Linked DNA regions of Oreochromis niloticus. The protein of the gene in region 1 binds, or shares a complex with, the protein of each later gene. Links are inferred from orthologs where the notes say so. Each region holds a gene or a part of one and is shown in the gene's direction. Other genes may lie near its edges.

What was found. The genes of interacting proteins can lie anywhere in the genome.
Region 2: exosc8 (region 1) and exosc4 share a complex: the UniProt entries of both Homo sapiens proteins name them as parts of the RNA exosome core complex. The link is inferred for Oreochromis niloticus from reciprocal best matches to the Homo sapiens genes EXOSC8 and EXOSC4.

Annotation. Positions count from the first base shown.
Region 1 is NC_031975.2:15,848,432-15,859,845, reverse strand, and holds exosc8 (exosome complex component RRP43), read left to right. Parts: upstream 1-5,988; 5' UTR 5,989-6,074; coding exon 6,075-6,091; intron 6,092-6,440; coding exon 6,441-6,477; intron 6,478-6,571; coding exon 6,572-6,635; intron 6,636-6,716; coding exon 6,717-6,790; intron 6,791-6,884; coding exon 6,885-6,930; intron 6,931-7,023; coding exon 7,024-7,129; intron 7,130-7,236; coding exon 7,237-7,282; intron 7,283-7,373; coding exon 7,374-7,470; intron 7,471-7,602; coding exon 7,603-7,723; intron 7,724-7,845; coding exon 7,846-7,952; intron 7,953-8,434; coding exon 8,435-8,553; 3' UTR 8,554-8,665; downstream 8,666-11,414. Other genes in the region: alg5 (dolichyl-phosphate beta-glucosyltransferase), read right to left, coding at 2,206-2,357, 2,450-2,509, 2,626-2,739, 2,851-2,943, 3,080-3,148, 3,815-3,861, 4,047-4,215, 5,180-5,242; supt20 (transcription factor SPT20 homolog), read right to left, coding at 9,471-9,620, 10,765-10,853. UniProt on the Homo sapiens protein: Non-catalytic component of the RNA exosome complex which has 3'->5' exoribonuclease activity and participates in a multitude of cellular RNA processing and degradation events.
Region 2 is NC_031982.2:18,039,610-18,050,106, reverse strand, and holds exosc4 (exosome complex component RRP41), read left to right. Parts: upstream 1-6,298; 5' UTR 6,299-6,382; coding exon 6,383-6,553; intron 6,554-7,357; coding exon 7,358-7,564; intron 7,565-7,663; coding exon 7,664-8,023; 3' UTR 8,024-8,190; downstream 8,191-10,497. Other genes in the region: prkacbb (protein kinase, cAMP-dependent, catalytic, beta b), read left to right, coding at 623-745, 884-1,048, 4,179-4,304; gpaa1 (glycosylphosphatidylinositol anchor attachment 1 protein), read left to right, coding at 9,309-9,382, 9,475-9,654, 9,794-9,905, 10,021-10,168, 10,260-10,361, 10,450-10,497. UniProt on the Homo sapiens protein: Non-catalytic component of the RNA exosome complex which has 3'->5' exoribonuclease activity and participates in a multitude of cellular RNA processing and degradation events.

The DNA of each region.
Region 1 (11,414 bases):
CTCATGGCTATGGGTGAGGGTAGAAACGTGGACTGACCAGTAAATCAACAACTTCACTTTCACACTCAGCGCTCTCTTCACCAGAGCAGATCCATCTGTGAATATCCCAATCCACTCTTCCCCACCCGTGAACAAAAAACACAGGATACTTAAACTCCTTCACTTGGGGCAGCAGCTCATCCATGTCCCGGAGTCAGCCATGCCACACCCTTTTATGCCTGAGAATTGTGGACTCAGACTGCTTAAAGTGCTAATTCACTTTAAGAGTGTGTAAAGTTTATCTGGTTGCAATTTATAACATGACATAAATGTGGGTTTTGTTAAGAAATTACTATATTATCTTAAATGCTTATATGCTGATTATATTGCTTTATAAGAGAGGCCCAACTCTGAGTACACTTTGTGTCAAAAGTCCTGACAGGAAACGATATGCTTTTGCAAAAGCATGGTAACTTCATACTTTTGCAGAGCATAGGACCAGAAAGTGAAACCAATTAGGCTGTTTGATCGAAACTTAAAGTGTATGTGATGTAGAGCAAGTATATAAATACCTAGGCTTCCGTTTGTATTTCAGACCTGAGCTTGTGTGTTCGTGTGTTCAGGTCTCCATATCCGGATATGTAAAATAAAGATCATTTTTTAGAGTTAAAAGACCACTTTGAGCCCTGTGTCTTTCTTGGCCCTAAGAATCCAAAGAACCGGATTTAATAGTTTCAGCCCTGAAAATTCCTCATGACATAGATTTGCCATCCTACAGTTCATCTGGGGTTGAGATGACACTAAGAGTACACCAACTTGTGATTCCCTGAGGCATGGATTTTGCACATATAATGTCCACAGCTGCATTAAGTTTTCCACCGAGACCTCGTACTGCTCATGGGAACGTCAAAGCTCTGTGTAAAGTCTTCTCCAGCACATCCCAAAGAATCTCAGCAGGGTTAAGGTCTGGACTCTGAGGTGGCCAATCCTGTTCGCTCAACCACTCTTTGACTCATGAATCAACGAGTGTCATCTTGGAATACTTTGTGTTGATTTAATTGATGTAACTTTCTGGGTTTAGACCTGACCAACTGAAGCAATTGCAGACATAACAATAATCTTGTACGGTAGGCATCACTTCATCTGCCTCTCTTCTTAACCTGATGTACTCATCACTCTGGAACAGAGTAAATCTGGACTCATCCACATGACCACATGACCTTTTTCCATTGCTACAGAGTCCAATCTTGATGCTCCCTAGCAAATTAAAGCCATTTTCTCAGATTAGCCTCACTGATAAGTGGTTTTCTTAAGGCTATGCAGCTGTTTAGTTCCAGCCCCTTGAGTCCCTTTTTGCAGTGTTCATTGTGCACTTTGCAGAAACATTCTTATTTTCACTATTAAACATAGCCCTGACTTCTACTGCTTTTATAATACGGCTTTATAATACGGTTTTTTATAATATGATTTCACGAAAATTTAAGTGATCCCAAGCCTTTTTCACCCTTCAACCACAAAGAGGATGGCTCACCACTTATACTATCCTTCCAGGGTTTAGTAATACATTGAGCAGTTCTCAACACAGTTATATGTATGTATATATATATATATATATATATATGTGGAGAGAAAGGGAGAGAGAGTATTTTCTTCTGTGTTCTCTGATCAGAATAAATACTTTTACACACCGAACACTTAAAATCTGTGAAAATATTTTATGGCTTAAAAATATTTTTCCGAGCCACCTATCTGTGTAATTTTGTGAGTTGGATCTGCAGCATTAATTTCTTTTCGGACGAAGTTCAATTTTTTGGGATTTGTGAATAAAAGGATCTGAACAATCACACCACTGCATTTGGCAACAAGCACGTTCGCAGCTCAAAAAGCGCACTGTACTGAATAAACAATGATGGGGAACTAGTGAAGTAATACTATTTTACCTCACAGACACACAGCTAGACTTTGCTCCGGGTCAGTCGGCTCTCTGAAATTATTTCTCTGCCCTCTCAGATGTGGCTTCAAAATTTAATTTGACTTTTTCACAATGCGCTCGGTGTGTAATGGCCTTTACACTAAATTGTCCAGCAATCCCTTTGCTAAACATATGACAAATTGGTTAAGATTTGCAAATTTCTGCTTTTAATATAGTCCAGGTGAATGCACATTAAAGCTAATACTTTAAGCTAAGACATCATCATGTGCCAACAGTGGAGGCTGATTCCTTACCATCGCTCTACATGGAGAGAGGAGAAGGTCTTGAGTGCAGCCTCACGTGTGAAAAGCTTGAAGCCACACTGAGTGTCCTTGATCCCCTTCACGCAAAAAAACCACACCAGGAAGTGGAAGCCATACATAAGGAACGTACGAAACAAAGACCGCTGCAAAGACACCAAAGTGTGGTCATTTACTGTTCTGAAAAATAATTTCGAACACTTTTCTTTTTAAGCAGTATAAAATAAAACCCTGTTACCTGAGCTACAGAATCTTTCTCTAGGTGAGCTCTGGATCCACATGAAATTGCCATGTTCTCCTAGACGTGAGAGCAGCACATGAGGCATTAGGCTTGGCCACATTTTAACCACTTTTACACACTTATATATCTAATAAGTGAAACTGAATTTAAAACAGAACAGAACACCATCACACCGGTTTGGGGTTGAGGTCATTGAGTCCACCCTCCACTTTCTCAATGTCAGAAAACTTTGTGGCTCCATCAGCATCTGCCATCAAAATGACTTTCCCTCTGGAGCTCAGAGTTCCCTTTAAAAGAAAAAGAGATAAAAACAAAACAAAAAAACCCAAAGTCAGTTCCAAACTGCTGCTTTAGGGTTCCCATTTGGACACACTGTAATCTCACATCTACAATCTCACCATCCGCACAGCTCCTCCTTTCCCTCTGTTCTTCACCAGCGTCAGGACGCGCACTTTATCAGCACTGTACTTCCTAGTGTACCGCAAAGCAACCTGCCAGGACAACACAACAGTGTCCACTCATGAAACCGATCTATACTGGTTGAAAATGTTTAGCTGAGCAAAACGGAGTTGTGCTAAAATAGAAGGTCTGGTTACATTTGCCCCAAAAAAGATTTAAAATTATTACCTCTGTGGTTTTGTCTTTGCTGCCATCATCCACCACGATGACCTCATAGGTAAAAGAGGGGTTTTGTTTCTGCAGTCAGAAGAAAAAACAGACAAAAAAAACAAACAAAAAACAGGAGAGACTTGTTTCACAACAGCCACTTTACCCAGATCATTGTTGCCACCTACTGGTAAGTCTGAGAATAACATATCCAGCAATATATGTTTTGTTTTTTTTTTTTTAATAATGAACATTATCCATCATCAGTGCAGACAAAAAGGCACTAACATCAGTTATTCAAGAAACCTATATACACAAGGTTGCAGAAAAAAGGACCCAGTGACCAAAAAATGTAAACAAATTATAAAAAACAAAAAAAACAAACTTGAACTGTATCTCTGAAAAGGTGTGGTCACCTTGAAATAAATTCAAACTAATGAACAGAACAAATAATTTAAGGGCTTTCTTGTCATTAAAATTTTTAAGCCATCTGTTTATACATAGTTTAGCTTTAAAGTATATACATTTATTAACTAATAAATGTTCCTAATAAAAACACAGTCCTGATAACAGTCTTTCTTTTGTTTGCTTTTTGTGTGTCAGATTTTGATTATAAATAAATATCCCAAATGTAATTACAGTTACTGTTAAATGTGGTAATTGGATATCCGGTGATACATTTTGTTTTATATGCTTTTAAATGTGCTGCTTTTTACTGTAAATATAATTACGCTTTAATTCAGGCTCTGCACTTACCTGCCTGTTCTCCAAGTACTCCATAGCTTCATCCATCATCACTGGTACTGAAGGGACACAGTAACACACATATAATAGCAAGTACAACCTACTGCACAGTGACATGACGTCTGACTGCACCAACCTGGATGGATTGCACTACTAACGCCTAATGAAAACTGACTATTTACAGTGTGTGTCTAATGTGGGCATTCATAATGACTGACTGAGCAGAAAAGCAGACTTTACTCACATCGGAGCTCCTCGTTGTAGGCCGGGACCACCACAGAGAGCTCCCTGGAATGGGGATCATGTAGACTGGGGAAGAGCCGCTTCTCTCCGGTGGCGGTGAGAAAGTGTTTCTCCTTCTCATGGCGTGTCAGGTCCACCATCCCTGCGGTTAAGTGTGCTATTACGAGCAACTGAAAAGTGAGAATTGCATTTGATTTACAATTGAATCTTTCTACAAATGTGGTGCAGTGATGCGTTTTGGCCAAATATCTCCAAAGCACATTGTTTCACAAGTCTTGTGGTTTGTTCAGATGTAAGACTGAAAACCTACGCTACGCTCCCATGTTCTTTTTAGAGAGAAGACCTTAAAAGACTTTCTAGACTCATGAGAACCACCAATTGCTTCTCTAGCACAGAGAAGCAAGTTGATGATGAAAGACACAATTGATGTCTTTCCTCCTTGGCATTGTGTTACCCCACCCTAGAATACTCCAGACCAGAAAACTTCCTTCTTTTTTTTTTATAGAGGTGCTCAAACTTGCTGATCATTACTTAATAGCAGGCACCTGACTGCTAATTACTCTCTGCATTCCTATGTCACATTTTGTAGTTCATCTGAGGTTGTATTTACTCAATTTTAAGATCTGCTAAGGACGAGATTATTTTTTATTATATCCTAAAATGTAAAACTTTAGAAACTGGTCTATATCTAAAAGAATGCGAGCAAATATGTACCATATGTTTCATATATGCTTTCAATAGTCAATAGGACTAACGCTCTGAATAAATACCAATCAATACAGGATTTATTTACAACCTAAAGATCCGGTATCAGCCAATGTCTAGTTTTTCTGAATTAAATGTTGCTCCTTTTCATGCTTATATTACTTACGAGATATTTTTTCTGCATGACACTTGACCCCTCTGTTGCTTTAGAGCAGAATGAAGAGGAAGTATCATAAAACTGAGGTACATGAACAGGCCTGTAAAAGTCTACAAGTGGCCCGAGTCAAACACAATGCTCAAGGATAACTTGGAAAGTTTTGAAAAGTACAAAAGGAAAGATACCCACGCTATCACTGTAACTGTATTTGGGCAACTTCTCCCAAAACAACTTAGCTACAGCATCTCTCATCCAAAGCACTGATTACTCACCACGATGAAACCTACAGCTGCCAGTGCGACGAGGGCTTGAACTATTTCACAGAGGAAATCCATTTTCCATCAGGTTACCTACCCTACACCCACTGACAGACAGACCACCTGCAGGGGGCTAGCTCAGAAGCTAGCTGGCTTTCTCCTTTCCCTTCCTTTATTGACACACAGCCTGTGTTCTAACCTCCTGGTGTGTCCAAATATATGTACCAAATTACGACCTTACGATATTATTCAGAAGGTTAAAATGTTTAATATGAGTCCTTATGTTTCCATTGCTGTGAGGACACTTCACCTAACTCCACTTCCAATCACAACTGAACACAACGACGATGCGGAAGTAGTGACTGTTTTTTCTCCCACATCATCATATTGGAGCAGGAGAACAACGAGCGGCACAGTGCCGCTCGGCGCTGGGGCACACTGCCTCATAGCGGACAGGGGTGGAAATGGTGGCAAGGACTCTCTCTTTAACATGTACATAAAGAAAAAAAGGGAGGTATAATGCTAGGAAAAATATTAGCATTTGTCAAAGCATTAAAGACTTTTCTTCTAGTCTACAACATTTTGTTGTAACATTTATGGAAAACAACAACCTGCATCCCAGTCCCCCAATTCCCTAAAGGTCATATTTTGGACAACGACCTCTCAAAAATTATTTTGTAAAATCTATCGGAAATGTTTCCTGAAGATTTCCTACAAGGTCCACAAAAATATAAAAAGCAACTCAATAAATGGCTGGAGTTTATTTACTTGCAACTAGATTTGACCAGAGACGTCTATGGACAGGTCATGATTTGGTTACAAACGCGTTTGGTTAAACTTTGGTTATGCGCTTCTTCCTACCCGGCTACCGTAGGTCATAGCGCAAACCCACGTGGTTAATCAAAACATCATGGCGGCTGGCTTCAAGTAAGAATATACAAGCTCTCCGTTCTATGTTTGGGAAAATATCACTTTTAGTTTGCTCTGTTTATTTTTTCCTGTACTTACCAGCGGAGTAAATGCATATTTGGTGTTATAATAAATTAAATTATTTATTACACAAAATAAAACGAAAATACCGGACATCATGCATGTGACAAAGAGCGCACTTTATTCATTCTTGTGTCACAGCTGTAGTTTATGACTGGCTCAGATATTTGTCATTGACGTGTATAGCATGAGTACTCGGTCACTCTCTTCGCTGTGCTGTTTCTGAGTGAGCTTCTGATGTGTCGGTGCTGTGGCTTCCTTTACCGCGTTCCCTTTTAACTTGCAGGACTGCTGAGCCTCTGGAGTACCACCGGAGCTTTCTGGTCAGTGTTGAAAACAAGTTCATCCCACACGTGACAGACAAGTGTTGCTCTCTGGATGGATATGAACTGTTATTTGTTTCTCGTTTCTCTTTAGAAAGAAAACTGTCGGCCTGATGGACGAGAGCTGACTGAATTCAGAACCACAACACTGAACATAGGTGAGACTTCCCCACAGTGTGTGAGTGTGTGCGAGGTTTCTGTAACCTACATAGGATTTTTTATTTTATTTCCATGTTTAGGGTCAATTTCTACAGCAGATGGCTCAGCCCTGGTGAAGCTTGGAAACACAACAATCATATGTGGAATTAAAGCGGTAAACACATTTGTTTTTCCTTTTTGTTGTTTTTTTTATTTAGTGAGTGTGGGCCAGGTTGATAAGTACTCACTTATATCTCCCCCTCCTGCAGGAGCTAGCAAACCCTACAGTGGAGGCACCTGGTAAAGGCTACATTGGTAGGTGTAGTAAGAAGTCTTTGTTTTCTCCCATTCTTTCTTTGTTAATTATCTGATATCATGTCATTCAAACAATGATCGCATCTCCATCAGTGCCCAACGTGGACCTGCCACCCCTATGTTCCTCTCGCTTTCGGCCGGGACCACCGGGAGAGGAGGCCCAGGCTGCCAGCCAGTTTATCGCTGATGTCATTGAAAGGTGCCCGACTTCAGTATATGTTAGCTTTTTTTAAATGTTTATTTTAAATGAGTGATAGTTTTTAAACCTGGTGCTGGTTTAACTAAGTTTTTATGTGAATTTTTCAGCTCTGAAGTGATAAAAACAGAGGATCTGTCCATCGACAGAGGAAAGGTAAACCCAAGAGTCACGGGGCTACACTGACATACAATTTGACCCTTAAATATCCAGCCATGGGTACTAAAACTGCGGACTCTTGTTGCAGCTCTGCTGGGTGCTGTACTGTGACCTCATGTGTCTCGACTATGATGGGAACATATTGGATGCTTGTGTTATCGCACTCTTGGCTGCTCTAAAGAACAGTATGTAAATTTCTACTGTAATGTAAATTTTAAAAAAAGTCCATGTGTCTTAACTGGTAATAATGGAAACAAATCAGTAGTTCTTCTTCTTTAAGCAGTACATGAACTTAACAGTATCCTGGCTCCTCACAGCACGACTCCCAGAAGTCACCATCAACAAGGAGACCTCTGCACCAGAGGTGAATTTAGAAAAGAGATGGGAACTTCAGATTCACAAACATCTAGTCAGCGCTTCTTTTTGCATCTTTGATGAGTAAGTTAGTCTAGCCATTATATATATAAAAAAAAAAACAACAACCCAAAAAAGAAATTTATAATCTCTATTTTTAAGTGACATGTGCTTCTTTTTCTAATCCTGGCCTAATCTCGCTGCAGTTCCATACTGATTTCGGACCCCACAGCTGAGGAGGAGACTCTGTCAACAGCACACCTGACGGTGGTGACTGATGAGGATGACCGGCTCTGCTCTGTGCACAAACCAGGTGAGGAATACGTTTGAAGCGATTTGCCTTTCTAGACTGCATGGTATGTGGCATGAACCTAATTTGGTTGAAGATATTTTAGGCTTATCCCTTACTGCAAGAGCCAAAATCTGCAACTGATTTGCCAGTTTTAATGCTAATGTCCTTCCTGGCATGACGCCAAAGGGGATTTATGTTTCTAGTAGGGGTAGAGTCAGCGATCCTTTGTTTGCTTGCCAAGAAAATGTGTTAACCACTACACTATGGAGCTACTCCTTTAACCTGATTTGGCATTAACACAAAAAAAATGTCCTCAGAATACCCCTGTTGTATGAATCAATGCATGTGTAATAGTAACACCAACATAAACTGACGGCTTCAAAATGAACACTCAGGTTAGGTCAACAGAAATAAAACAAAAAGCAAAAAACTCAAAAATGCCAAAAAGACATTTTTAACGTAACTGGGAAATACTGTTCTATACATTGCTACTTGTTGCTCAGGTGGGACATCACTGTCAGGAGAGAGGCTGCAGGAGTGTATCAGCCGAGCAACAACACGACAGAGAGAGATCCAGAAACTCATTGCCAAAGTTGCACACAGTGTGAAGAAGGCACAATAATGACACTCGGACGATGCTTTTTTTTTATCTAAAAGCTGTATTTTTCACTGTCAATATATATTCTTTTTTTTTAATAACAATAAAACTGCTGACAAAGACCGCTTTAAAAAATTATTTCTCAGTGTCCGGAAATGTCTCACACACACACTCAGTTGATGTCTCGTAAGAATACGCTCATGGCTCCTGTACTAATTAAAAGGAAATGCCTTTTCAAAATGTGCTGTACAAAAGCAGGTACACCATCTTGCATGATGATCTTGAGTCCTCGTTTGAGCCCTGTGCTGGGACTGCTTAAGAGAAGAAAGACTTCCAACAGACTGAGAGGTAGAGAGCTGCCCCCAGGCACAATTCCAAGATCAGATTTGCATTTCACATGTAACGGTTACACAGGGAGGATTTGGTGTCGGTAAGCTCAGTCGGGATCCGTGCTTAAAGGGCAGTTTCTACCTGGGTCAACCGAGCAGAGGCATTAGGATCGGGCTTCTCGAGGGGAATCCTCTGAGAATGTGCATCTGCGATCCTCTCAGTTCACAGGGCCTCCATTAGAGACAGCTCTTCCACAACGGAGGGGGGCGGTGCGTTATTGTGGAAGCCCACTACTTACAACAATCCTCTTCTGTGTCATCTCAAAAAATAGCATTAACAATTTTTTTAACTTTAGGGCTCCCTTTTCTAACACTCCCCATCCCCTATGGTGGACACAGTTTTGGTTCTCTCCCAAACATCTGACAACCATTACATACAAATTTGTCAGCTAGAAAAAGACAAACAGAAAAGAGTTTTTTGTGGGGTTTTTCGTCGTTGTTTTTTCTGCCTACACTCGACAGCGAGGCAGGCAAAGAGCACAATATGGATCATTCACGTCCTTTTGTGTGTGGATTTGGGCGGGGGGAAGGTCTTAGTGTGATTTAAGTCTTTCATGATTTGGGGAGGGGCTGAGGCGTGCTCCTCTTCCTCTTACTTCTTGGTTGGCTGGCGGTATGGTGCCGTGGCGCTCCCCCCTGAGGAGCTGCTGCTCCCATAGCCATTTGCTGCTGCTGCTGCATTTGGTGCTGCAAGAATTGCAACTGTTCAGTGCAAAAAGAAACATGGAAGAAGGACAAAAAAAAAAATAGACTTCAGTATGTTACTACAAATAAGATAATGCAGAAAGAAATAATGATATTGACTTTAAGGTTTATGTAAGCATCTCAAGCTCGGTTAAGACATGTTAACTGGAATCCCTCGCTAAAACGTCTTCTAGCAGAGTGCCTTGTGTCGTATAACTGGCATGGGTTAGTGAAGCTGATCTAAAGCCTGATACATAGAACATACAAGAGGAGTGTGCGGAGAAACACAGGAGAGTGGTTAATGGGTTGCAGAGGGGAAGGAAGAGGAAGGAAGAGATAAGATTTGGGGCAGGTCATGTTTTGGGGAGTGAGGCGGGATACAGTCAAGCAGCACCAGTGGCGTCTGGAAGACAAATTATTGGCTGTGATCCTGGCGTAAAAACAAACAAACAAACATGCAGCTCAGCAAACCGTGCGTTGTGCTCAGAGTAAGCCAGCAACCTCAACTGGGCAAAAAAAAAAAAAAAGAGTAAAAAAAATCCTAACGGCTCAGATTCATGCTTACGGTGGAACAACCTAATGCCTCTGTCGCAATGCTGTCGGCTACCTTTCAGCAGTCTGTTCCCAGTGACACAGTTTCAGAACCTGCTGCTAAATGGCTGTGCAAGAACATGCCTCCCACTTTGACACTTTGTTAGTTGTTGCCATTGGAAGTGCTGCAAGCTCTGGTGTGTGGGTTGCTGGGAGTACTGGGGCTACTGTGGTCTTTATCAAACAGCATAGTAACCAAACATACAACACAATATGGAGTGAATGGTGTTTATCTATAAAATGTATCTGAAAGAAGATTTTTATAAAAACTTATAATTATTTATTTATTTATTTTAGGAAAATAATACAGTTTATACTAAAACTATCTCAGTATTATATAAAGGGTGTGGATGGAAGCTATTTTTAAAATCCATTAATGTGATAAAAATACTAAACCTATATGTCATAAAGCTAGTTTACCTAATTCTCTCACACTTTATAGTGCAGCACAACAGAAGCCTGCAAGCTAAATAAAAACAAGGAGAGCTGGTGGAGGCAGGTGTGTCTAATCTCAGTGTTTGGCTCTTACAAACTCTATATGTGTATATGGATGTTAATGTTGCCGTATTACTTGGATCTGTGGCTGGTGCTGCTGCTGAAGCCTTGGAGAAGGCAGCGGGGGCCCAGACCCGTCCAGCCCACAGCCCAACTGGGACAGCACTAAGGTGGAGGGGAAGGGGAGGAGGGAGACAGGGATCCCCAGAGGGAAGGACATGATGGCGAGAGGGAGAGAAGCAGCAGAAGAAGGAATGGGGGGGGGGAGTGTAAAGACAGGAAATGAACAAGTGGAAAAAAGTAGAATATTTGCGAGGATTAGCGGGAGAGCAGGGGTGGGTTGTGGTTTCAGGAGTGCATAAACACACACAGAGATGGAAGAAAGAGAAGCAAAAACAAATGTTGCAGGAAGGCCAAAGATAAATGACCGTGTGCGTTGAGTTTTAAAAAGCGCATTATGGGGAAATAGCGTGAATCGGGTGATTCAGGGAGTTTAGCGAATAGGGCAAATTGAGAAGAGGGACAGGAGGACAGTGTAGGAGGAAAGACAGAAGGGTGGGGGCAAAAAAAAAAAAAACAATAAAAAAAAAAGAAAAGAGAAAATGTGGCAGAGAAGAAGGGGAAGTTGAGTCTCTCCTGTCAGATGTTACATGCTCCACTGAGAGGAACAATGGCTAACTTCAACAAAATGGTCATGTTTAGTTACAGACTGAGAGTCCTAATGAA
Region 2 (10,497 bases), on another chromosome or scaffold:
AACAACTATATTACGGTCTAAGTCACTTAAAACACCCTTCTTTCCCATTCTGATGCTCAGTTTGAACTTCAGTAGGTTGTCCTGACCGTGCATAAATGAATTGAGATGTGCAGTATGATTGGGTGATTCAACATTTGCGTTAATGAACAGTTTTGAGCACGTTTATGAGTACCGTTTCATTTCTGCTAATGGATGCTTGTAAAGCCTAAACACTGGTCTGTAGATGAGTCATATTTTACAAAAGTTTCTATGACAAAAAATAAAAATCATCATTAAAAGAAAAGGACTGTAGCAGGAATTTATCTAGAGAGGGAAAAGAATTGTCTGTGCTTGCTATACAAATGTCTTATTTCTATATACAAAGTTCCAGTTTTCTAACTGCAGGTCAGAGTAAAATTAGTGGTGAAATACAGATTCTTACAATGCAACTAACCAAAGCTCCTCGGTGTTATTATCCAAGTGGAGCTGCGGGAGCCATTTGGAAGTTTTCTCAAGTGATAAATTATAATGAGAAAGTCTTAAATGTCTTAAAAACAGCCTACTTTTTCTCCAATTATATACTATAAGTATTTTTCTTCTTGTGTGTTTTCTGTTATATTAACATGTGTTATGTTCGTTTTAGGGCTATAACAAAGCTGTGGATTGGTGGGCCCTTGGAGTCCTCATCTATGAAATGGCAGCTGGCTACCCTCCTTTCTTTGCAGATCAGCCTATTCAGATCTATGAGAAGATTGTGTCTGGAAAGGTAAGAAGCTGCTTCTTTTGGAAATGCCAACATGATGGCATGAGGAGCAACGGCCATGCATGATAGCTAAGTTAAATTAAATGTGCACGACTGCTTTAACTACTAGAAATGAAATCCTAACACTTGCAGTCTTTTCAGGTTCGGTTCCCGTCCCACTTCAGCTCCGATTTAAAGGACCTGTTGAGAAACCTGCTGCAGGTGGATCTGACCAAACGCTACGGCAACTTGAAGAATGGAGTCAATGACATCAAGGGACACAAATGGTTCGCCACAACAGACTGGATCGCAATCTATGAGAGAAAGGCAAGATACCAAACACACATTAAAGTGACACCATACAGAATTAGCTCGTAGAGTTAATTATATATCGATTTACACACATATTTATTTATTTTCTAGAAAGTTTCCAAATACTCTTCAATCAGTTTTACTACACGGTCCTTTCTGATTGTCGTTACTTAGCTGTTGCATGCACAGTATTTACTTAATATATTTATTTCATTTTTTTAACTGGCCAGTAAAAAGGTGTGGGGTTTTTTCACTTGGAAATCACCCAGCTTCACTGCAGATGGTGCCACATGCCAGTTTGCAGGCGTGACAGTGATAATGGACTGTTTGGATAAATCTAATTAGTTATTTAGCTTGGGCTTAAATCTTATTGACTTCCTTTAGTTTAGCTTAATATGCAAGCATTATGTTTTTGTTTTTTTACTTTGTTTTTGCACTCTTCTACCTGTGATTTGTTATAAGATGAAAATAAGCAGCGTTCTCTGTTTAAGTTAGTCCAGTAAAACTCCAGAGCAGTTCCTCATGAGCAGAGTTGCTTCTTGGGGTTTTGTGGCATAAAAGCAAGATAAAGAGCTACAAAAAGGAAGAGAAGCTGTTTTGTATTTACAGTGAAGTTGGAGCCTTTTCTTTGTGGACAGAAATTCAGTTGCTTTGCCTTTAGTATATTGCTGTATGACAGTGTTAGAATGTAATATCTTGGGCCAGTCACTGTGTAGTCTCACTGTAAGTTGGCAAGCGCCCATGCTGAGATTTTATGAAGACAATGTCTCAGTCCCAGTGAATAAATATCCTATTTGAATATTCTAGTCCAGCTCGTTTAAGCATATTTTGTTATTTTTGCAGAGGTCGTTTCTTCTCTTTGATCATTTTGTTTTAATATGTGTTTCATGATTTAATAATTATGGAAAAAAGTAGACATCTGACTATGACCAAATGATCCGATTAATCATATAGCATTTGTTTCTGGATCCTGGCTAATGTCACATGCTTCTGCGTGTAAGGTTATTCTCTGACATGTAGTAAATCCAGAGCAGAGGGAGTTGAACTGGCAACTCTGAAAAAATGCCACAGTTTTTGTCTTTAAGATATACACGTTGTGTTGTACTGAGTGCATCATTGAAAGTAGTGTTCAGTAAGTGATGTATTAAAGCATTACAGATGCAACTCTGCTGTTTGAGAAAATCGTCCAATCACAGTTTGTCTTTAGTCTCAGTTATGTGCATTATGTATTTGAATAAGCTGCAATCATATGACTCATGTTAAATAATGGGTAAAATTAATGTGCAAACACAGTACAAAGAGCAAGTTAAAAGAAAGTTAAATATAGATTATATAAATGATTATATTAATTTTATCAAAGATAATGCTTTGTCCGAAGAGGTCAATTTACAGTGTTTGCCAGATGGCTAATTTGACTGTTGTCCACAAGCCGGATGCAAACAAACAAAAAAATAAATAAAACATAAACACTGAATGACTTAAATTCAGCGCATCATTTAGAAGAAAAATAAATATTAATAAAAATTAAAGTAGAACTTTATGCATAGTTGAGTCAGTGAGGCACGGCACCCACTTTTAGCTTTTGTAAAATTCCTGTTAATTAAAACATCTTTGCAGACAAATATTTCAGTGACCTAAGTGCGTCTCCTAGAAGCAAAATGTGAAGTTTTTCACTCCAGTACCAGGGATATGAATGAAGCTTGGAGTACCAAGTGCCCGACAACTCTGAGATCATTTGCCATTTCCCCTGCAACGTTTTGCATACAGGGCAGGTATTACCACTTTGGAAAAATAATTGCGCTGGGGATAACGGCTCTTTTGTCCCCGTATGTTGATCATTTTCCAGAAGCCTGCATTACTTACCCTGTTTTTTTTTTTTTTTAACTCACATATCTTTGGTTAAATTAATGTGGCTACTTTTGTGATTTCAGTGTGTCTTTGTGAGCCAGACGTATATTCATACGGAGGCTTATTTTTACAAACGTCTGAGTTGATGTTGGAAAATTCTTGCTAGCAGCCATTGCGTTGTTTTTCCTTAGCCTTCATGCATTAATTATCCTGCAGTTTGTGATTTGTTTTCAATAAGGTACTTGTGCTGCTTTGCAGCACAGACACAATATGACTTGGCTGACGTTGCTTGCCCTACATCCAAAGTATTTCCAAACTATGAATGATGATCCGCTTCTAGGGACAAGCTCCACGTCGTGCTGCGCCAGACATTTAAATTTTGTTTCGATGGTCTGTTATCTGGAGTATATCACCCCAGTCAAGTGCTTTCAGGAAATGTGATGCTGAACAGTTATGGGAAGCCAAACTCTCATATGATTGAGATTAAAATTTGAGTCATTGTGCAGCCCTAGTTAAAATGTAACTATACAAAATCCTGTTAAATTAGAGGGGACAAAGATGAAAGTACAAGCGATACCAGAGGTACCCATTAACCTGTAACATATTTGATACATACAGTTTTTCATCATCATTGTGATTCTGCTGTTTTGTTTTTTCCCCCCCATAAAACCTAAATAAATTGGACAATACATTTTTAAACGATAAATTTCAAAAATTGTCAGAAGATTCGATGAACAAATTATCTGAATGATTTCATGGTTAGGGCTTTAAAGGTTTAACTCTTTGTTATGCATCAGCTGGTTTGTAAAGTGTATGTCTGATTATTTATGAAGGCACAAGTGTCTGTATCTGTGGTGTGGAAGCTCTTCAGATCAGATGCTTTGAGGATGATTTTTAAGATGGGATTAAGATGTCTAATGAAAGGATTCATGCTTTTGTGCTTTGTTCTACTCAGGATGTGAATAAAGTAGTTTTAGGAATGAAAAGCAGACTTGAGAGGGAAATTTAGATGTGTGTGCTCTCGTATCTGCACACCTGGTGAATTGTTACACAAACTGCAGTTGCCAGTTTTTGTTAAGTTATTAAAAACTGCCTCCATTGTAGAGGAAGAGGCTTCACCAGCTATCTGACAAGCACATCGTTTAAGTTGACAGCATTTGGGGTTTGCCAGGACAACAAATGCTGTCTAGATTCACTGTAATACAATACAGTCTTGCCTGCTCTACTGACAAGCCAGTGTAGGCATAAATATAATATAATCCCACCCAGTAAAACAAGTCTTTCTGTTCTTCTGCAGGTTGAAGCTCCATTCATACCAAAGTGTAGAGGCCCGGGGGACACGAGCAACTTCGACGACTACGAGGAGGAGGAAATCCGCGTTTCTTTAACGGAAAAATGCGCGAAGGAGTTTGCAGAGTTTTAGGACGTGAGAACATGGATATATCAGGGAAAATAAGGGGATCTTTGCACTCTTCTGAAGACTTGGGATGGAGCAGAGACCATCTTTTTCAGATCTACTACATAGTCCCTTCATTCCACAAGGCTGAATGAGGTCGCCATGATCCTTGGGTGCCGATAACCTGTCACCGTCACGTACACCTGCATATTAAAGCAGACACATCACTTTTCTCTTTCTTTTTGTTGTTTTTTTTGTACTTATCCTTTTTTTTTTTTTTACTTTGAAGCAGTTAGTCTTGGATGTTGTTATCCCCTATAAAAATGTGATATTTTTCAATTTATGAGGAAAAACTGACAGTGGCCAATAATGATACACACATTGTGGGTTGTAGGGATTCCCCTCCAGTTGTCAGCAATGTACATTAAGAGTGTGCATCACATTTAGATTTTGTCTTAGGTGCAAATCTGTCCAGACATTTGACAACTTTGACTGTTTAAAGGATGACCAAATGGGAAAACGCTAGGTGACACAAGAAGAGAGGTCCTTTCCATTCTTTGCTTTAAGCCTTAGAGAGCCAAATCCTTAGATGAGCCCCCCTCACCCCCATGTTCACTGTCTCCTTTGTATCGTGACCCAGGCACAGCAAGCCATGCAGAAAAGGACAAACCTTGTTACATTAGTAAAAATGTAAAATCCACTTGTTTGTTTGATCTGTTTGGGTCCGCTAGTTACATGTAAAGTTTGATATGTTACAATATTTTGTCGCTGTGTCAAACATTATAATCATATTGTCCCCATCGGGCCTGCTTATAAAGACCCTCATTACATGTCTGTGGAACAACGTGACCTCGGTAAAAGGGAGTAAAGAGAAATCCTTTTAGGGTTTTAACTTTTATGTAAAGCTGAGAGGGTCAGTGTGAATAGTGTTGCAGCTCCGCGCCTCAACATTTAGTGAATCTTTAAAAAAAAAAAAAGTATAATGTACTCAATGAAAGATGTTTTAAAATCTTTGAACAGGAATGCATAAAAGAAAGGATATTTACCATATTCTCCCTGTTATCGCCCCAAAGAGATTTCTTTATTTCATTCTTGTCAAAGAATGTAGATTTGCAACTTATAGGTATGCATATTTGAAAGCTTGATTTCAGTTTTCCTCACAATACACTGGCTAAAATGAAGACTGCTCCTTTGTATCACATGTAACCCTGTTATTGTTAAGCTCATTACATCATACGTATATGCATTGTTTCATATATGTTTTTATTTATACACATTAGAGATGCTAATAAATTTTATTTTTAAAAGTGTTGGAATTTTCTTGCACCCTTTCTTCCATCGTGGATTGCGGATCCTACTGTGTGATCTGGGTAGTATCAAAAGTCCAGAGGCCTCAAGAGAAGATATTTTATTTTAGACGTTTTAAGCAAGTTTGTATCACAGTGAGCACTATGGATTCCTGATTTGGCATCTTGGTATGAACAGCTTAATTACACATAACTTGAATACAGGTGAATACATGTTAGCTTTTTAGAAGTGGGCTGGGGCTTTTTCCATGTGACTAAGGGGTAAAAGACTTGGTGCTACCTGGACAGATCAGTAGTCTGTTAAAGAGCTCACACAAAGACGCATTCAGCCATTACACCTTTGGTCAATTTAAAATCACAAGTTAACCAATGCACGTGAGGAAGCTGGAGAGAAACCACACAAGCATTATGGAAACGTGAACTCATCAGAGAAAGGCCCTGTCTAGCTGGTGGTTTAAACCCAGGACCTTGCTGTGAGCCAGCAGTGCTAACCACTATATTTCTGTATTTGTTGTAACTGACAATCCATCACTACATATTTGGACCACAACACTGTATATAAAAGATGACCATAGCCACCAGTTACGTGAAACCAGAGTATTAAACACAATGAAAACGGTTTATTGTGGATACTAACTCTGCTTCTCATGGTTTCCGCTCTGGCTGTTTTTCTTTTCCGGAAGTTGTCGTTCGGTTTGGACCTATGGTGTTGCCGTAGGTACTCGGCGTATGGGTAATGTAGTGTAGCAGGAGACACGTGGGACGCTGCGTTTCCGTTCATTCGAAGTTTACGGAAACATGGCGGGCCTGGAACTGCTGTCTGACCAAGGATACCGTTTAGATGGAAGAAAAGCCACCGAGCTGCGGAAGCTTCAGGCCCGTATGGGTGTGTTCACTCAGGCCGACGGCTCTGCGTATTTAGAGCAGGGGAACACCAAAGCTCTGGCCGTGGTGTACGGTCCCCACGAAGTAAGTGCCGCGGATGGAGGGGAGGGTTAGTGGGGATAAACAATAAAATGCATTTGATTATGGTCATCACACCAGTGACATAAAGTCGCCACATTTTGATATAATATAGTGTAAATACCTGAGAAAGGGGAATTTTCAGCGAGATCTTTTGCTTGTAGCAGTACTTGCACAGTGTAGTATCATTATTAAATTATTGCTCAAAGCAGACCAGATGTGTAGGAAGTTTTATTTAAGGCTCAACAGCATGAAGTATTAATTGAAATCAAAGTTATGATAACATATACATTCTCTAGACACTTGATTGGGTACACCTTGGCCCATGGTATGAATTCAACAACACTTTTCCACTTGAGTTTTTTAGTCCATATTGAGATAATAGCATCACACAGTGGCTGCTGATTTGTTGGTTGCACATCCATAATATTAATCTCCTGTTATGCCTTTGGAATGAGAAATGGTGATTCTAGAGGTCATTTGAGAATATTCAAGAAACCTGTTTGAGGTGATTTGAGGTGTGTGATGTGGGGTGTTATCCTGCTGGAAGCAAACATCACAAGATGTGGTCATAAAGGGATGGACACAGTCAGCAACAATAATCAGGTTGACTGTGTGCAAATGATACGTTTATATTCCAAGTATATTTGCGTTAACAAGCCGTCGAACAAGTGCACCAAAAAAAGTGTCCAGTTGGTGTATATTGCAGCATTTCTTTATGTTCAGTGCAGTTAACATTGTCCCAGTGTTTAAGCACAGTAACGTCCAGTCCAAGCTGTACATCAGTTCTTACGTGTCGTTTTCCTCCAGATGCGAGGTTCCCGAAGTCGGACTCTTCATGATCGAGCAGTTATCAACTGTCAGTATAGCATGGCCACGTTCAGCACAGCGGAGAGGAAGAGACGACCACACGGAGACCGCAAATCCACTGAGATGAGCCTCCACCTGAAGCAGACGTTTGAGGCTGCTGTGATGACCCAGCTGTACCCTCGCTCTCAAATTGATATCTATGTCAAGGTTCGTGTTGGACTGACACTTCATCTGGTGAGAGGTATTATAGGTATTATAGATTTCTTTGTAATTGTTCACAAACACGTTTCCATCGTCTTCCAACAGATTCTGCAGTCAGACGGAGGGAATTACAGCGTGTGCGTGAATGCTGCCACACTGGCAGTGATTGACGCTGGCATCCCTATGCGGGACTATGTGTGTGCCTGCACTGTAGGGTTTGTGGATGAGACCCCCCTCGCTGACCTGTGCTATGCGGAGGAAAGTGGAGGCGTGAGCTCATTGGCTTTAGCGCTTCTGCCCCGAGGTGGACAGATCGCTCTGCTGCAGATGGATGCCAGACTGCATCAGGATCACCTCGAGACTCTGATTGAAGCTGCAATGACTGCTTGTAAAGGTGTGAGCAAAGTGCTGGATGAGGTGGTGAGGCAGCATCTTCAAGAAGCCTCGGTGCTCACTGGAGAGTGACGTGGGACGGCAGCAGGAACATGTGGACTCCGAGTGCAGCTTGAAAGTGTTATTGGACTTTAAATATTTACAAATGATATTAACGTTTAATTCATTTATATCAGTCACTGAATACTGTTGTATGTATGTGATAAATGTAATAATAAATATTTTAGTCATGCATCGTTTCCTTATTGGTTGTTTATTTGTGAGTGAGGTATTCAAACTTGTCTACTTATACGACGTCTGCTCCTGCAGCTTCACCTCTCCACCTGCCTCCCAGCCATTGAAACATGTATCCTCTCTTGTTTCTACTGACCTTCTCTCCAGGACACACCTCCATCACCCCCGGTTATCTTCCCCACCTGCTCCCTACTCTCTATGATGGAAGCTTGTTTGTCCAACTCAAAATTTTTGAGATTTTAACCCTTTCTGGTTACTAAGTATCTTGAAATGTTGACTTACTTCTGAGCTCACACATTTTGAGATATATATTTCCACTGGCAGAAACAAGCTACCACATTGATGTTCTACATTTTATAGCAATAAATAATAATTTAAAAAACTATGTTTTAAACTAAATACACGAGTAAAGTCACTCTGTATTAAGGTAAGCTAAATGAAAACTACGAGCTTTAAGCATTTAAGAAAAATTTTAAGGGAAGTTTTAAACATGTACCTTATAACGTATAACATGTACCTAATAACGATGAAACGGGTTATTCATCCAGTATTTTCAATATTTCTTTGTGTCGTTTTATTTTGTTTTACTTTATTTTATTTTAACTTGCTTGAGCGGAAGTCGGTGCGCCGCGGTAATGTTCCCGCAGGAACAAGGAAATCGAAAACGTCCAGCAGCGGCTTCTGCGATAAAGCCCCACCTCTGAAGGTGGATGTGACCAGTGGACACAGGTGGGTTTTTTATATATATTCTGCAAAATAATAAAAAAATTTGTTAAAGCTCTTTAAAAAAAAAAAAAAAAAAAAAGCTTTTTCAGCGTATAGCGGGTTTAAACATTTACCACTCAGCGAAACCGTCCTGCTTGCTTGCTAGCTCGCTGCACCAGGCTAACCTCAGCTGTCAGTAGATGCTCTGACAATGGATCCCAGGAAGCAATTTCTCAGCTCGATATAAAGGCGTGATTACCGCAGCGTCGAATGGTCATAAATGTCTTCATATCGATGTGTATTCCTCAGCGGTAGTTATCCTTACGGATTGTTAACAAATCATATTTAAATTGTCTGTGTGTTTCCTTCAGGATCCGCCAGTAAATCCAGGCTTTGGAGTAACGTTACAGCTGATAATATGGGGCTGCTATCTGACCCAAACAGAAGACGGGCTTTGATCAGTATGCTGACTCGCCTCAATGCCCCAATCTGGTGAGTTTTAGTCAGTGTGAAACGTCTGCCTACTTTCGTTTAGCTCTCTCTCTCTCTCTCTCTCTATTAATATTACTTCTGTCTTGTTTTAGTGTGGTCTGCTACTTTGCCGGTGTGGCTTGGTTCATGGGTTTGGCCTTTGAGCCGTTCACTCTGCGGACATACATGTCAGAGAATGCCATGGGCTCTACCATGGTGGAGGAGCGCTTTCCAGCTGGGGAGAGAGCGTTGGCCACCGGGAGGGAGTTTGCAGCCCATAAGAAGAAAGTTGGGTAAGGTTTACTATAGACTTGTGCTTGTGGGTCTTTATGCAGTTTGTTCCTAGTTTTTTGTTGTTATTTGAAACTCAAGTCTCGGTAGAAGTCTGATCGTTTTTACAGTAATCTTGTTTGACTATTTGCGTCTCTGCAGTGGGATGCCAGTGGACTGGCTCGTGAAGAATATGCAGGATCGAGGACTGGAAGTGTTTACTCAGAGCTTCTCTCGCACACTACCCTTCCCTGATGAAAACAAAGAGAGATATGTGAGTTTATCGTGGAAAACTGATTTTGTTCTCAGCAAGAGACAGACTGGTTTTTGCACAATCTTTATGAATATTTAATGACTTATCCTTTGGTGCTGTCTCCTCTTCTTGGCAGATTGTAAAAGGCACAAATGTATATGGTATCCTTCGAGCTCCTAGAGCTCCACGGACTGAAGCCCTGGTGCTGAGTGCTCCCTGCAGCCCAGGTGATAGCAACAACCAGGCTGTGGGACTGCTTCTCGGCTTGGCTCAGTACTTCAGAAGTGAGTACAGCACCCATTCCCCTCTCCTTCTCCACAATTTGAATGATGCTGTTTGCTTTTCTTGGTTTAATGAATGTTGTTTTTTTAATAGATCAGATTTACTGGGCCAAGGACATCATCTTCCTTGTCAATGAGCATGATTTGATTGGTATGCAGGCCTGGTTGGAGGGCTACCATCACACCAACACTACAGGTGATCAAACACGTGTATCTAGTTACAGTAAAATAAAGGAATGAGATGTATAACTAAGTTAACTTTACTGTTGAAATGGTTCATCCAGGTATGTCGTGGTCTCCATTACAAGGCCGTGGTGGATCAATCCAGGCAG